Linked DNA regions of Danio rerio. The protein of the gene in region 1 binds, or shares a complex with, the protein of each later gene. Links are inferred from orthologs where the notes say so. Each region holds a gene or a part of one and is shown on either strand. Other genes may lie near its edges.

Evidence for each region.
Region 2: the proteins of wdr59 (region 1) and sec13 are in contact, whole or in part, in a cryo-EM structure (PDB 7UHY), measured with the Homo sapiens proteins. The link is inferred for Danio rerio from reciprocal best matches to the Homo sapiens genes WDR59 and SEC13. Residues at the interface, in NP_085058.3 of Homo sapiens: Ala525, Tyr526, Gly527, Asp531, Ala532, Asn533, Ile534, Pro535, Phe536, Pro537, Arg538, Thr539, Ser540, Gly541, Ala542, Arg543, Phe544, Cys545, Gly546, Ala547, Tyr549, Val551, Phe553, Thr554, Arg555, Met557, Ala644, Gly645, Lys646, Val647; in NP_899195.1 of Homo sapiens: Val4, Ile5, Asn6, Thr7, Val8, Asp9, Thr10, His12, Asp14, Met15, Ile16, His17, Asp18, Ala19, Gln20, Met21, Asp22, Tyr23, Tyr24, Gly25, Leu28, Val42, Pro59, Trp61, Gln62, His67, Pro68, Tyr79, Ser105, Asn107.

Annotation. Positions count from the first base shown.
Region 1 is NC_133193.1:7,030,488-7,037,710, reverse strand, and holds the start of wdr59 (GATOR2 complex protein WDR59), read right to left. Parts: upstream 4,474-7,223; 5' UTR 4,462-4,473; coding exon 4,408-4,461; intron 2,352-4,407; coding exon 2,302-2,351; intron 1,720-2,301; coding exon 1,584-1,719; intron 136-1,583; coding exon 50-135; intron 1-49. Other genes in the region: RNA-binding protein NOB1, read left to right, coding at 4,550-4,618, 6,610-6,742, 6,823-6,956, 7,035-7,106. UniProt on the Homo sapiens protein: As a component of the GATOR2 complex, functions as an activator of the amino acid-sensing branch of the mTORC1 signaling pathway. The GATOR2 complex indirectly activates mTORC1 through the inhibition of the GATOR1 subcomplex.
Region 2 is NC_133197.1:32,943,204-32,950,400, reverse strand, and holds the start of sec13 (protein SEC13 homolog), read right to left. Parts: upstream 3,734-7,197; 5' UTR 3,630-3,733; coding exon 3,627-3,629; intron 1,738-3,626; coding exon 1,693-1,737; intron 1,607-1,692; coding exon 1,491-1,606; intron 351-1,490; coding exon 199-350; intron 1-198. Other genes in the region: cand2 (cullin-associated NEDD8-dissociated protein 2), read left to right, coding at 4,038-4,105. UniProt on the Homo sapiens protein: Functions as a component of the nuclear pore complex (NPC) and the COPII coat. At the endoplasmic reticulum, SEC13 is involved in the biogenesis of COPII-coated vesicles.

The DNA of each region.
Region 1 (7,223 bases):
ACAAGCTCCTCCAAATTCATAGTAATTTCAGCTTGAATTCATGTGTTACCTTATTACACGTGTGTGGCCTTGCAAAGACGTATGTGATTTACCAGATCCATCCCGCCATGTGTACAAGTCGACACGCTGGTTACTCTGGATGAAAATGAGAAAGGCATTATTTACAACCTAAAAAGTTCATGTAAAACATAATAATAAATGAACAGAGAACAAAACCTTGCCAAGAAAAAATAAATGTTGACATAATTGTAATTCTGTGATTTCTATTGATTACATCTTCTCCTATGCATTAATTTAAGCCTGCTCTTCCACGCTTGTTGTTTTGCTTGTTTATTTGTATTTTTCTTGGTATTTTGGTATGATGTTGTGCAAAGTTGTTGAGAAAAATCTAATAAACACAATAAATAAATTATTTAAATAAATGAAATATACATTTATTTATTGGTATGAGAAGGCTTAATTTGTAAATTGCGATGTCCTGGAACAGATCGAGGTAACATAACTGGCATTTTACCCGAGGATGAAAAGGTGTCGTGGATGAAAATGTACAGCGTGAGGGGGGATGGGGGGGATTGTCACAGACAAAAGTGAAGATCAGGGTCAGGGTTGTCGTGGAAGAAATTGAACAGTGGATGGGGAGGAGGTAGGTTGAAGAGGGGGATTGGTAAAATAAGGTGCTGGATTAGATTTCAGAGGTGCCGGATCCGGAGTGTTCTGGCACAAATTAAGCCCAGGGTATAAAGCATAAATGAGTACACTCCCTTTTAAAATTAAAATAATATCTATTTCTCAGTGTATACAGCCAATACATTTTGGTGCAATTAAACAATTTATTAAACAGTTTATTAAACATTTTCATCCATTAAAATATATGTTTGGTCATCTAACATCTTTAGGAATATAAAGATAATACATTTAAATTCAAATGATATATTACAAAAAAACTAAATTGAATATTTTTTTTATATCTTTTCTACTGATTTTAACTGTTTATTAAAACATTTTTTCCAACATTTTAATTTGGGTGTACACATTTTTGGACTGTGATCATAATTTTTTTTGTTAGATTAGTTTTAGTTTTGGCTTTGGTAATGACTAATCTAATGCATACAGTATGTACAAATACAGTTGAAGTCAAAATTATAAGCCCCCCTGAATTATTAGCCCTTCTGTGTTTATTTTCCCCGATTTCTGTTTAACGGAGAGAATATTTTTTTCAACACATTTCTAAACATAATAGTTTTAATAACTTATCTCTAATAACTTATAAATAGCTTAAAGGGCCAAATAATTTTGACCTTAAAATGGTTTTAAAAAATGAAAAACTGCTTTTATTCTAGCCGAAATCAAACAAATAAGACTTTCTCCAGAAGAAAAAATATAATTAGACATACTGTGAAAATTTCTCTGCTCATTTAAACATAATTTGGGAAATATTTAAAAAAGATTAATAATAATTCTGACTTCAACTGTAAATTATTGTAATGCACCCTGTAGAAAATATTAATTAAAAAGAGAAATCTGTGAGGGGTGAACTCATGTATGCTGAACACTGTACATATAATTAATATTTGTTTACTTACAGATGCAGCAAATATATGGGCGTCAGATTTGTGTGGGTTCCACTGGACTGTACCAACGTCCCATTTGCTCTGGCGGCTGATTTTACGAGGAGCTTCGGACGGCGTTTCTAAATTTACAACGTATAAGAATCGTCTCCTGTGTGAAAGAATAAATAGACTGTGTTATGACAGAAACAGATTTAATAACAGGGCTGCACAATATATCGTTTTAGCATCTATATCACAATGTGTGCATTTGAAATAATCACATTGGATTATCCGCGGTACAGAGTTGGAATTATAGTTGGTCAGCAATGAAGACTGTACAGTGTTACTTCATATTTTGCATTACATTTGAGTATTCAATTACTGTACCTGAATATCTACTGTTTGACTTATAAAACACTTCTTATTTCACTTTTATTTTTGCTTTATTTTGCTTATTTATGCTTGCAATTTGTTTGATTCACTCCACTATAAGATTATGCCAGTCAATCTAAATTAAAGATTTAATAGCAAATAGAGCTATTTAAGTCATCCGCTGAAATTCTATTCATATCGCAATATATATCCAAGAAAAATACAATAGCACAATGTCAGATTTTTCTAATATCGTGCAGCCCTAATTTATAACAATAAAAACAGTATATGCAACACATAAAACTTTGCTAGAGCTGGTGCAGGAGGGTGTGCTGGTAATTCCCCATGATGATGTGACATTAGTGGAGGTTTTACACACCCAGAGAGAACAGCGTGCTGGCCCAGACAGTCCACTGACATAGCATTAGCCTGAAAACAGAAAAGTTTATTATATAGCATACATTTCAGGCTTATTTCTACTCTTTTAAATGTTACAGAAATTCAACTACAGCATTGTTTGAACTACAGTGGCCTTGATAGAACTGAACATACAGATTTTTAATGAATAAGCGAGAGATGAACATAAAGACTTTAACCCTTGTGTGTTGTTGGGGATGTTTTCATCCACCCAGGGGTGATTTAAAGTCTTAATCTGGCCACAACTTTCTATGTGTTTCTGAAAATGGAATGATTTTGGTGACAAATCTTAGTTTGACACAAATTTTCGGAAATTAAATGCTTTGAAAAACTCAATACACTCTGGGTAAATTTACTACCCTTTGTTATGTTAGTGGATATTTTTGCCCCATTGACTTTCATTATAAAGACATTTATGATTGCAAAGCCATGGCACCATATAATCATGCCTTCTTGACTGTTGCTGGTTTTCCCTGATGGGAAGAGGTCAAATTTGCCATGGCTTTGCAATCAAAAAATGGCATTATAATGGAAGTCAATGGAACAAAAACAGCAACTAACATAACGAAAGGATCGTCATTTTAAATAATCCACAAGAGTTAAACAACCAACATTAAAGAACTTTAAAAATATATTGATATATATATTTTTAAGAGGAAAAACTTTTAAAGGAGCATTTTTAATGAAAAGTACATAAAATAAATTATTATTTTGAGTGGATGCCTCTCGGGCAACGTCTAAAGTCAACTAGATGTTCCTCAAATCGTTATGAATTTACTTTTGTACCAAAAGCAATAATAAATGTGGATGATCAATGGTTTAAAATTATGATTTTATATATTTTTTGTTTGTGTAATTGATGTTACATGTGTCATTTGTGTTAAATGTGAAGCATCAGAAATATCAGCATGAATAGCCCCAAGAGAATTAATAAAGCTTTAGGCTAACTAAACCAAGTTTTTACAGAATAATTGAGTGCCAAATTCCACATTTGGACTTAAAGCCCTTTAACAACCAACGTTAAAGAAATTTTAAAGTATATTTTTATCAGGAAAAAAACTTTTAAAGTAGCATTTCTTTAATGAAAAGTACATTAAATTAAATTGCTATTTGTGAGTGAATGCCCCTATGGCGACGTCTAAGGTCAATTAGATGTTCCTCAAATCATTATGAATTTACTTTTGGGCTTGAAGCAATCCGATTACATAATATATGTAGATGATTGATGGTTTATTATTATTATTTTATATATTATTTGTTTGTTTAGTTGATGTTACGTGTGTCATTTGTGTTATATGTAAAGCATCATAAATATCAGTATGTATTGCCCCAATGGGGATTAATAAAGCTTTAAGCTAACTAAACTAAAAACAACTAAAAAACACATTTTTGCAGAATAATTGAGTGCCAAATTCTACACTTATAAACAACCAACATTAAAGAAATCAAAATATATATTTTATCAGGACTATCCTTTGAAGTGGCATTTTTTAATCAAAACTTAAGTACACTGGAAGAACTTGCTGTACTTGTTCTTAACCGTTTGATCTTTGAAAATTTTAGTGCATTTTTATTGTATTTTAGTGTAATTTCAGTGCATTTTTAATGTATTTTTTGTAATTGAAATGTACTATACAATCTTCTGTTATCTTCAAGTTTTGTAAACATAAGAGTTTTAGTTAAATAAATAAACATTGCTTTGATAGTCAATATTTAATGACATTCATCAATTTGTATTGTAGTTTAAGGATAAGTAACAACCTATAATCTTGATGTATGAACTATCAACTACTTATTGAACCACAGTTCTCAGCGGTCATTCTACCATGACTGCCTTCAAAGTCTTCATTAACAAGACGTTCATTGTGGTACTAATAAAGCACAGTGTATACCATGGTAAGTTTATAAAGGGAACATATTAGTAAACAAAAGAATGTCATTCAATTCAAAGTTAAAAGACGTCGCTTAGCTTTGCCATTTAAGCAGTGCATGCTTGTTGCTTCAAAGTTGTTTGAAACTACACTTCTAACGCATTTAAAGCATGCACACGCGTGTAGCGACTGTTTACCTGTGCATCTCGAAACTCCACCACCACATTCTCACTGCTCCAGCGGGCCGCCATCTTCACCCCACCTGAACGTCAACAAATGACGTGATACTAACGGGACGATACTGCGTCTCCTCGCGAGAACTACTGCCACACAGTCAAGATGGTGGCGACCATAGTGGAGCATGTTGTTGTGGATGCTGGAGCTTTTATCAAAAGGGCTCCTCTGCACGTGAGTTATTTTTTCAGGGATTTGGGTTATCGTTCGGTTCTTTTAATTTCGACGTCCAGAAATTTGCGTTTTAATGGCTGTGCTGCGGGATAAATGACGAAACCGACACGCGTGTTGTAACTGCGTAGTGCGAACTTTACTGTTATTATATGGCCACATTTGCTCAGTGACACGATACTTATATTGTTTATCATAGGGCTTTAAACATTCTGTCTGAAATCTCATGCAAGTATGACTGTAATGTTACTTTCATTGTCGTAATATGATTTCCATATTTAGAATTAGCCAATAATACTTTACTGAAATTATATTATCAAGGGAAAAATCCTAATGCTCGAATATAAAACCAATTTTCCCCCAAAAGAATAAATAGATATGATTATGGTGTATTATTTAGATCAGAGATGGCCAAACTTTTTCTTATGAAAGGCCAAAGATTAAACCTGATTGAGGGCTGTAATATAAACTGTTTTACATTAAAGTCGCCATGTTTTTCTGTTCCTAAATTATGGAATAATATTGATATAAAAAAAACATTTCATTAATTAATGCATTTTTTTACATTTTTAATGAACATATTAGAATATAAACAAACAATTTTATTTGGATCACAATGGAGTTTGATGTAGAACACACTAGTCAAGCCGCACATCCTTATGCATTGATTTGTTAGCCAAAGTCCTGTGCCTTGTTCTCTATCCATCAAGTGATAGTATATACATTTAAAAAAACTTAAACATTTAAATTAGGTTAGCTTTTTTGTAGCAACAAAACAATAACACAAACAAACAAAAGGTTACATTAAATTAGAAATGACAATCTCTATTAAAGGCATTCCTCAACCATACCCATCATTCTCCCTATCGGATGGTGGGCCAAATCAAAAGTTATCATGGCCACCTTTGGCCCGTAGGCCCTAGTTTGGGCATCTCTGATTTAGATCATACAAAGGCAACACACTAGTATAAAATACCATAGTATAAGGTATTTGCATAGTGTTTGGGCATAGACATGTCTATATTTAGTAATACAACATATTTTGATAATGAACATGCATGATATTGTTGACATGAGAACTTAAAATACACATTTATTTGAGCTAGTTTTAATTAGTTTGAGGTCTTATTCAAATAAATACATTAAACAAATTAAAAAATAGCTCTAACAAATTAAAAATAGTTCAAGTAGATGTGTATTTTTTTAGTTCTTTTGACAACAATATCATGCATGTTCATTATAAAAAATATATCTAAATATCTATACATCTATTCCCAAGCACTGCAAAAAAAAAAACACATTCTACTATGGTATTTTTTGTTAGTGTGTCTGTTGTGTGTCTAGCTAGTGTATGTATTATTTAAAAACTGCCTTTAAATAATATTCAGATCGTTTTAGAGCTGCACAACACTGAAAGTCTGACATTGCGATATTTTGTTTTGCTGATATATATTGCGATGTTAATCTAACAATTTAAAGAGCTCTATTTGGATGTATTTCATTTATTTAGATCAACTGGGAGGATCAAGTGTTTTTCTATGCAGTGGATCTGCATAAATTATACTAAATTACAAGCAAAAATAAATACCTAAACAGTGCTTTATGATTTTCTGGGGAGTCTAAAACAGTATTCGAGTACAAAAGTGGAACAATCAGATGATACATTGTCATCATTGTAAATATTTTTTAAATAATATTTAATAACATGTTTATATTTTAATCTTTAATAAATAATGCAATCCTGTGACGTGACTGACACACACGTTGCAATATCAATGCTCAAACTATATATTGTTCAGCCCTAGATTGTTGTATTTGCAGTGGTTGTTATCACACAAACACTTGAATACTTAATAGGATATGTATTTCCAGACGAAAACGAAATGTAAAGAAAGAAACGTTAGTATATGTTGCATTTAATAGATGTATATGTATTTAATATAATATATGCTTGCCATTTCTATCTGTTATAACAAGTTTGTGTGTTCCAATAGGAAATTGGCAAGAACATTTATACCTTGAAGGATGTTGTTGATGAAATTCGGGATAAACCAACTAAAAGGAGCTTGGCCTTTTTACCATACAAGCTTGATTTCAAAGAACCATTTCCAGAGTACATTCAATTTGGTAATAACTGCTCTTTGTGTCTTACTTCCAAGTCTTTATTTCAGTGCTGGTAGTGATTTATATTTGTTTTTGAATAACAGTTACAGAGTTTGCTAAAAAGACAGGAGATTATCCCAGTCTGTCAGCAACGGACATCAAGGTTTTGGCTCTGACTTATCAACTGGAGTCTGAAAATGTGGGGACTGAGCATTTGAAGAAAGAACCTGAGAAACAGGTACTGCAGATGAATTAAGTAATTAATTCAGATTTTAGTTAATATTTGTTTTAGTTTTCAACATTGTCTGCATTTCAGGTTCAGATATGCAGCACACAAAGACATCCAGAGACTCCTGTTGGCATTGCTGGTTTCCATTTTCCTTCAAAAGTAAGACAAAACTTGAAAAAAGTTTGGTGTTTATTTAAATTATATTAATTAAAGGAAAATCCCATTATTTTTTAGTTTTGATAGTTGTTTTTTAAATGGGATAAATAATATAATTTG
Region 2 (7,197 bases), on another chromosome or scaffold:
CAATAATCGTTTATCTCGATTAATGTTTTTACATAATCGTTAGAAGCCAAAATTAAAATCGAAATCGAATTTTTGATTAATTGCACAGCCCTAACTGTATCGTGACAATATTGTGGAACTGGTGATTCCCACCCCTTAAAAAATATTGCTAAAATGTGAAATGGAAACGTGTGATTTGAGAATGGGAAGGGAGGTTACCCGAGGAGTCGTGGCCTGTGTATTCATACATCTTGTCCCAGGTGCTGTTCTCCTCTTTCCAGATGATCACCTTCCTGTCGTAGGAGCAGGACGCCAGGATGTTGCCGTACATGGGATGAGCCCAGGCCACCTGCCACACCGGACCCTCATGACTGAACAGAGACATTCAGAGGTATAATGTATGATAATGAAATTCTGTATCAGTCATAAGTCCGCGGATTTTTAGTCCATAATTGCGACTATTTATTTAATTGTTTTCATGTGTGTACATGTATATTTATTCCGTTTTTAAATTCATTCATTTTCTTGTCGGCTTAGTCCCTTTATTAATTATTAAATATTAATTATTTATAATTTTTTATTAATTATTAATTTATTATTATTATTATTAATAATAATAATAATTAATTAATTATTTAATAAATTTTATTGACAGATAGAAGAGAATGTTCATATGATTTATTTACAAAACAATTTTTAAAGTAATATTTTTTTAACCGCCAACTTATCCAGCAAGTTTTTACGCAGCGGATGCCCTTCCAGCTGCAACCCATCTCTGGGAAACATCTACACACACATTCACACACACACTCAGTCACTACAGACAATTTAGCCTACCCAATTCACCTGTACTGCATGTCTTTGGACTATGGGGGAAACCGGAGCACCCGGAGGAAACCCACGCAAAGGCAGGGAGAACATGCAAACTCCACACAGAAACGCCAACTGAGCCAAGGTTCGAACCAGCGACCTTTTTGCTGTGAGGCGACAGCACTACCTACTGCGCCACTGCCTCGTCTCCGTTTTTAAATTACTTTCAGTAATTTTATTGACTGATACGAGAATGTTCATATGATTTATTTACAAAACAATTTGTAATATTTTCCGTCTTTTAGTAGATATACCATATACTTGCTTTGTTTGCCAAATAAATTGATCTAATTTGCATTGTAAACATTAAATAAAAGTTTAAAAGGTCTTTTTTATGTCATGTATTAAGTTTTCAGTTACGACATTCCTAAAATCATTTCACATAAATCTGCAGATTTTTTTTTACAAAATTCTGCGCAGAAATAGCAAAAATGTCAGCAGATTCTGCCTGGCCCTAGTCATAAGTCACCATTAATAATTAGGAAAACATTGCATGGATTTGACCATTCTGTTATACAAGAACATAAATTTAAATGTTTACAAGTTTTAGTAAATGATGATGGCATTATCTCAAAGACAAAACATATGGCATTATTTGAATGATATTTAAAGCATCTTAATCATTTTCAGATATCACTCACCCTCTTAAATCGGCCACAAGGATCTGTCCTCCGTTCTTGACGTCGAAGATCTTGACAGAGCGATCCGAAGAGCAGGTGGCCAGTCTGGTGCCATAATAATCCATCTGAGCATCATGCTGAAAACACAACAAGAACAACAGCATAAACGCAGAAGACTTGCAGTACAGGTAAAGACAGTGGCAGGATGACTGCAGATACTCACGATCATGTCCTCGTGTGAGGTGTCCACTGTGTTAATGACCGAAACCTGAAACACACAACAACACACATGCTGAAGAGACTTAAAAACATAACAATGACCTTCAACTTTAATGTGCATGAACTTAAAGTAAAAGTGAAGTTTTTTTAATATATTCATGCATTTTATTTAAATACCAGTATTAAAAATGACTTATAAAGTACCAAAATGTAGTGTATAGTGAGGAATGTGCATTATTTTTGATTGATATTATTTTTTACATACATACTGTACAAGCATAGATATAAATTTGTTTCAGCACTAAATATAAGTGTGTGATTAAACAAATAAATAGATTTATTTACTCATTAATTCACCCAACACGGCTTTGTGTAATTTATCATTTTATAATTGAATAGTTGTTTATTGAATAATTAAGCAGATACATTAGTCAAAGCAACTGACAGCACTAAATATAAATATAATACAAAAAAGTACAAGCCTTTGTTATTCTTATTTATTTTATAGGCTTACTCATGTATGCAATTACAAGATATTTTTTACTTAATTTTATTTAGTAACAATTTGTTCTGCAATTAACTGGACTAATGATCGTTTTATTTTATTTTATTTGACAACTTTAACAAAATATACAAACATTATTATATATTATTATATTTGGAATTATAATCTAATGGCAGCCCTAAATTCAACCAGTAAAGTAAAAATAAATGCAATTACCATTTTCTTTTTTAATATATTGTTAGTTATTATAATTATTATTATCGTTATCATGGCTCTATAACTGTCTCTCTCCACTACACCTATGGCTAGTGTGTGGTGAGCGTACTGGCGCCGTTGTCGTGAGGCTGCCGTCGCATCATTATCATGAGACCCCCTTCATGATTGTGAAGCGCTTTGGGTCTATGGCCATACACATTAAATCTGCTATATAAATACTCACATTACATGTAATTAACATGTAATAAAATGAAATACTTTAATCCATTTTTAGCACTAAAAAAGAAGTTTCATTTACATTTTTTTATTTAATCATCAGCAGTGATGTATGCAATTACTAGTTTATTTATTTCTTTAATAATAAGTTAATAATTACTTAATTAATTAATAATTAATAATAATTATCTTTATATGTCGTTTATTATGTTACACAATTCACTAGACTAAATACTTAAATCGATTGACATCACTAAATATAATAAACCATTTTATCTATTTCTCTATTTTTAAAATTCTGTGTAGTTTCATTCATTATTTCATTAAATATATATATATATATATATATATATATATATATATATATATATATATATATATATATATATATATATATATATATATTTAAAAAAGATTATAAGATTATAAAAATCCTAATATTTTAAAACAACTAATCCTTTATTTAAACTGCCAATAATAATTTATTTCACATTTATATCCACGGTCTTCTCAAATTACAGTATGTTTTCAATTTATTCTTTCAATAAATATCTAAGCAGTTATTTAACAGTTTTGCCATTTTAACTATCATGTATTTCACATTTTGTAATATATTTTATACAATACAGGTAATTAAAAAGTGTAGGTATAGATTATACGTTCCGTTAATATTTATTACAGATCTTGCTTGTTAGTTTAGTTAGGAGATTTTAGTTGTTGTTTTGTTTTTAAGATGAACGTATTCAATTAAGATTAATTCAATTCTTTATTAGGGTAATTTGATGAAGATAATCTAATCATATATAAAACTTCTGCTTTAATTCTCAAGAGAAAATAAAAAAATAGAAATAAAACAAGATTACCGAATAAATTATCACGACTTTACAGTACCAGGATCATTACTCTATTCTATTTAACGTTACGTTATCAGCTCGTGAACTACCGGGTTTCATACATATATCTGACCATAAATACACCACATACCATAATGTAACACTCACCATGTTTGCTTATATCCCTCAACAACCTCCTTTAACGATAAACTTTTAAGAATGTACCCTTTTTACTCCTCAGTGCTTCAGAAAATAATATACTGATAATATTTCCGACGTGGCAAACCTGACCGCTCAGAGCGGACTGTGTTCCTGCAGCTAAACCCTCCGTGTGGAACGAAAAAAAGATTCCGCCCAGTTTTTCCGTCCGCGCTCTGCAGTTCACATTGATTCCAGCAGATGGCGGCAGAGTGAGTTAAATTAATGTCACTCATCTCTATTTATAACTGCTCGAAAGTGTCATATGTCCCAGTCTCTCCAGTGTCCAGTAAGGCGCAATGGTCTTCATTAAACTCAGCTAAACTTTCGGCATTATTTATTTTGCATCGTCCATTAAGCGCTGTACTTTTAACCGTCAAGATGTCGAACGTTACTTTTTATATTTCCAATCTGTTGGAAAAAATGACATCCACTGACAAAGACTTTAGGTAAGAGTATTTTAGAGACGCATGTTTCAGACTCATGACTAATGTTTACAGAAATAGGCCAATGACAAAGCTGTTACCGGGAGTTTTATGTAAAACTTGATTTTTTTAAAGATTTAACTTACACAAAACTTTAAAACTCTTTGAAAAAAGAGAAGTGGAATAAACAGGGACAAGCCTAACGTTACTTGTTTTGTTACTGTAAAACTAGATATTGTTGACATGCTATAAATGGTCTGGCTTGCATGAAGTGTGCACTGTTATATTACTTTTTTATTTTACTGTTGACGACTAAACAGAATCTCAAGTATTTAAATGTAAGAATTTGTCTTTTTTTTCGTACAAACACACACAAAACAAGATTTAATATAAACCATGATTAATTTTTATAAGAAATTAAAGGTGTAGCAATCATGTTTTGTGTGTGTGTGTGTGTACCCTGTCACCATACAATTACACACTGAAAAAAGTCTTGTCTATCCGATTTGTAGGAACAACAAATAATAACTTGACTTCTAGTTGTCTATTTGGTACCAGAAGTGGCTTATATGAAAGGAAAATGCCTCTAGATTACGCTTATTTTACCAAAATCAAATATGATCATGCCTTGATTTTTTATTTATTTAATTTGGACAGTAAGGTCTGACTTTTCTAAGCCAAAAGTATTTTACTTAACAGAAATAATGTAAAGTACAGAATATAAAGTCGTAGTGCAGTGGAAAAAAGAATTAATATTGTGCATGATTCCCATGTGCTTCGGAAACTGCATCCATACACCTCTGTAATGACTGTAATAACTTATTAATAAAGTCATCTGGAATGGCAAAGAAAGCGTTCTTGCAGAAATCCCAGAGTTCATCAAGATGCTTTGGATTCATCTTCAATGCCTTCTCCTTCATCTTACCCCAGACATGCTCAATATTGTTTATGTCTAGTGACTGGTATGGCCAATCCTGGAGGACCCTGATCTTCTTAGCTTTCAGGAACTTTGATGTGGAGTACATGAAGCAGCGCTATCCTGCTGAAGAATTTGCCCTCTCCTGTGGTTTGTAATGTAATGGGCGACACAAATGTCTTGATATCTCAGGCTGTTAATGTTGCCATCCACTCTGCAGATCTCTCGAATGCCCCCATACTGAATGTAACCCCAAACGATGATTTTTCCTTCATCGAAATTGACTGCTTTCTATGAGAATCTTGGGCCCATGTGGGCTCCAATAGGTCTTCTGCAGTATTTGTGATGATTGGGATGCAGTTCAACAGATGATTCAGCCGAAAAAAATCTACCTTCTGCCACTTTTCAAAATGATCAACAAGAAGTCAAGTTATTATGTTTTACACTTACAACTGGGATAGCTGTCAAGACTTTTCCCTGGTTGTGTATACCTCAAATACCATGGTAAGACTTAGACTATAATAAGTGTAGCAAATAAATAAATAAATAAATAAAACATTACCATTGTATGCTTGCAACATTTAAAAAGGAAACCTGCCCTGATCTCCTTAGGTGTCTTTGAAAGCCTAAAGGCAGATTTTTTTTTTTTTTATGTAAAGGTAGGGCTGGGCGATTTGGCCAAAAAAAAAAAAAAAAAAAATCTAGGTTTTTTATAAAGTTTGACCGATTCACGATTTAGATTTTTTTATTTAATTTTTTTTATTGTGTTACTAGTTTTCTCAAAAAATGACTCAACAACATGACTGAAGTAACATTCACTTTAAAAGTAACTTGAAAAACCATCTGGTTAAGGAGCATTGTATTTTTAATGGCCATGTCATACAAAACTCAATCAAGGTGTGAAAAAAATGTAAAACAAATTCACGAGTTAAATAGTGGTGCTGAAGATTTGAATAAGAAATATTTGTGTAAATATTGCAGTTGCAGGAATACAGAGGTATTTTTTGCAAGTTTTGCTGAGCCTGGGAAAGATTGGCTGTCAGCTCGGCTTTGACTTTGTCTTCTGATTAAATGACAGGTTGTAATGCTGCTGCCTTTTTACAGTGGAAGAAAAAGGACTGAACATGGAAACTGTAAAGCCTAATTTAACCCAATGTGTGAAGTTGTGGACGTATAGCAGGAGCAAATACAAGCACCATATGTGTGTCTAATATAAAATAATATATTTAATCTATTTTTATTTTTTCCCCTTTTAAATACCGATCATTTGATGCGGTTTGCAGCACTCTCTGTATTATGCTGCCTGATTTGTCTGGTTTTCAACTAGGTCCGCTAAATGACGTCATGGGGCCGGGTACTTTCATTTTCACTGCTACAGTCCCTCACCTCTACTCGTGTTCAAACCAAAAGATCAGCGCGGTTTTTCACATGGCAGGCTTTTACGTCCTTCATACATGTTGAGATCGAGTTAGTCGACTTGATGAGGGAATGTTTTGACAATACACACAGACGTGACTCAGACTAATGCAACAAGTAAAATCCTACATGACTTCACGCTTTAACAGGCAGTCAAGCAGGTCGTACACCAGAAGCGCGCGACACGGCGCGCACATGACAGTTTAAACCATCACACACCAAACGCACACATTCTCATGATATTTAACATGAAACTAATCAGATGACACTCTGTGGCACGGCTGAAATATGAACTGCTTCGTGAATCGTGGCTGGGCGGCGCCGGTTTGTGTATAGAAATCTGTTTAGAATTCTAAAATCCAAGGCGCTGCGTGGTGCTGCGCGGCGCGGCTCCGAGAGGCACTTCTGGTGTGCTTCCTGCTTCATAGAGTGAACCAAAGCGCATTGGTGCCATTATAATGTATTATATATATATATATATATATATATATATATATATATATATATATATATATTTTTTTTTTTTTTTTTTTTTTTTTTAATTTATTTATTTTTTTTATTTATTTATTTTTTTTTAATTTAAACGTAAATTCGAATTAATCGAAAAAATCTGAAAAATCGCCCAGCCCTATGTAAAGGCCTCTGAAGAAAAACAAAAGGCACAGTGGGTAGCACAATCGCCTCATAGGAAGAAAGTTGCTGGTTCGAGCCTTGGCAGTGTCAGTTGGCATTTCTGTGTGGAGTTCTATGTTCACGAATGTTTCCTCCAGGTGCTCTGGTTTCC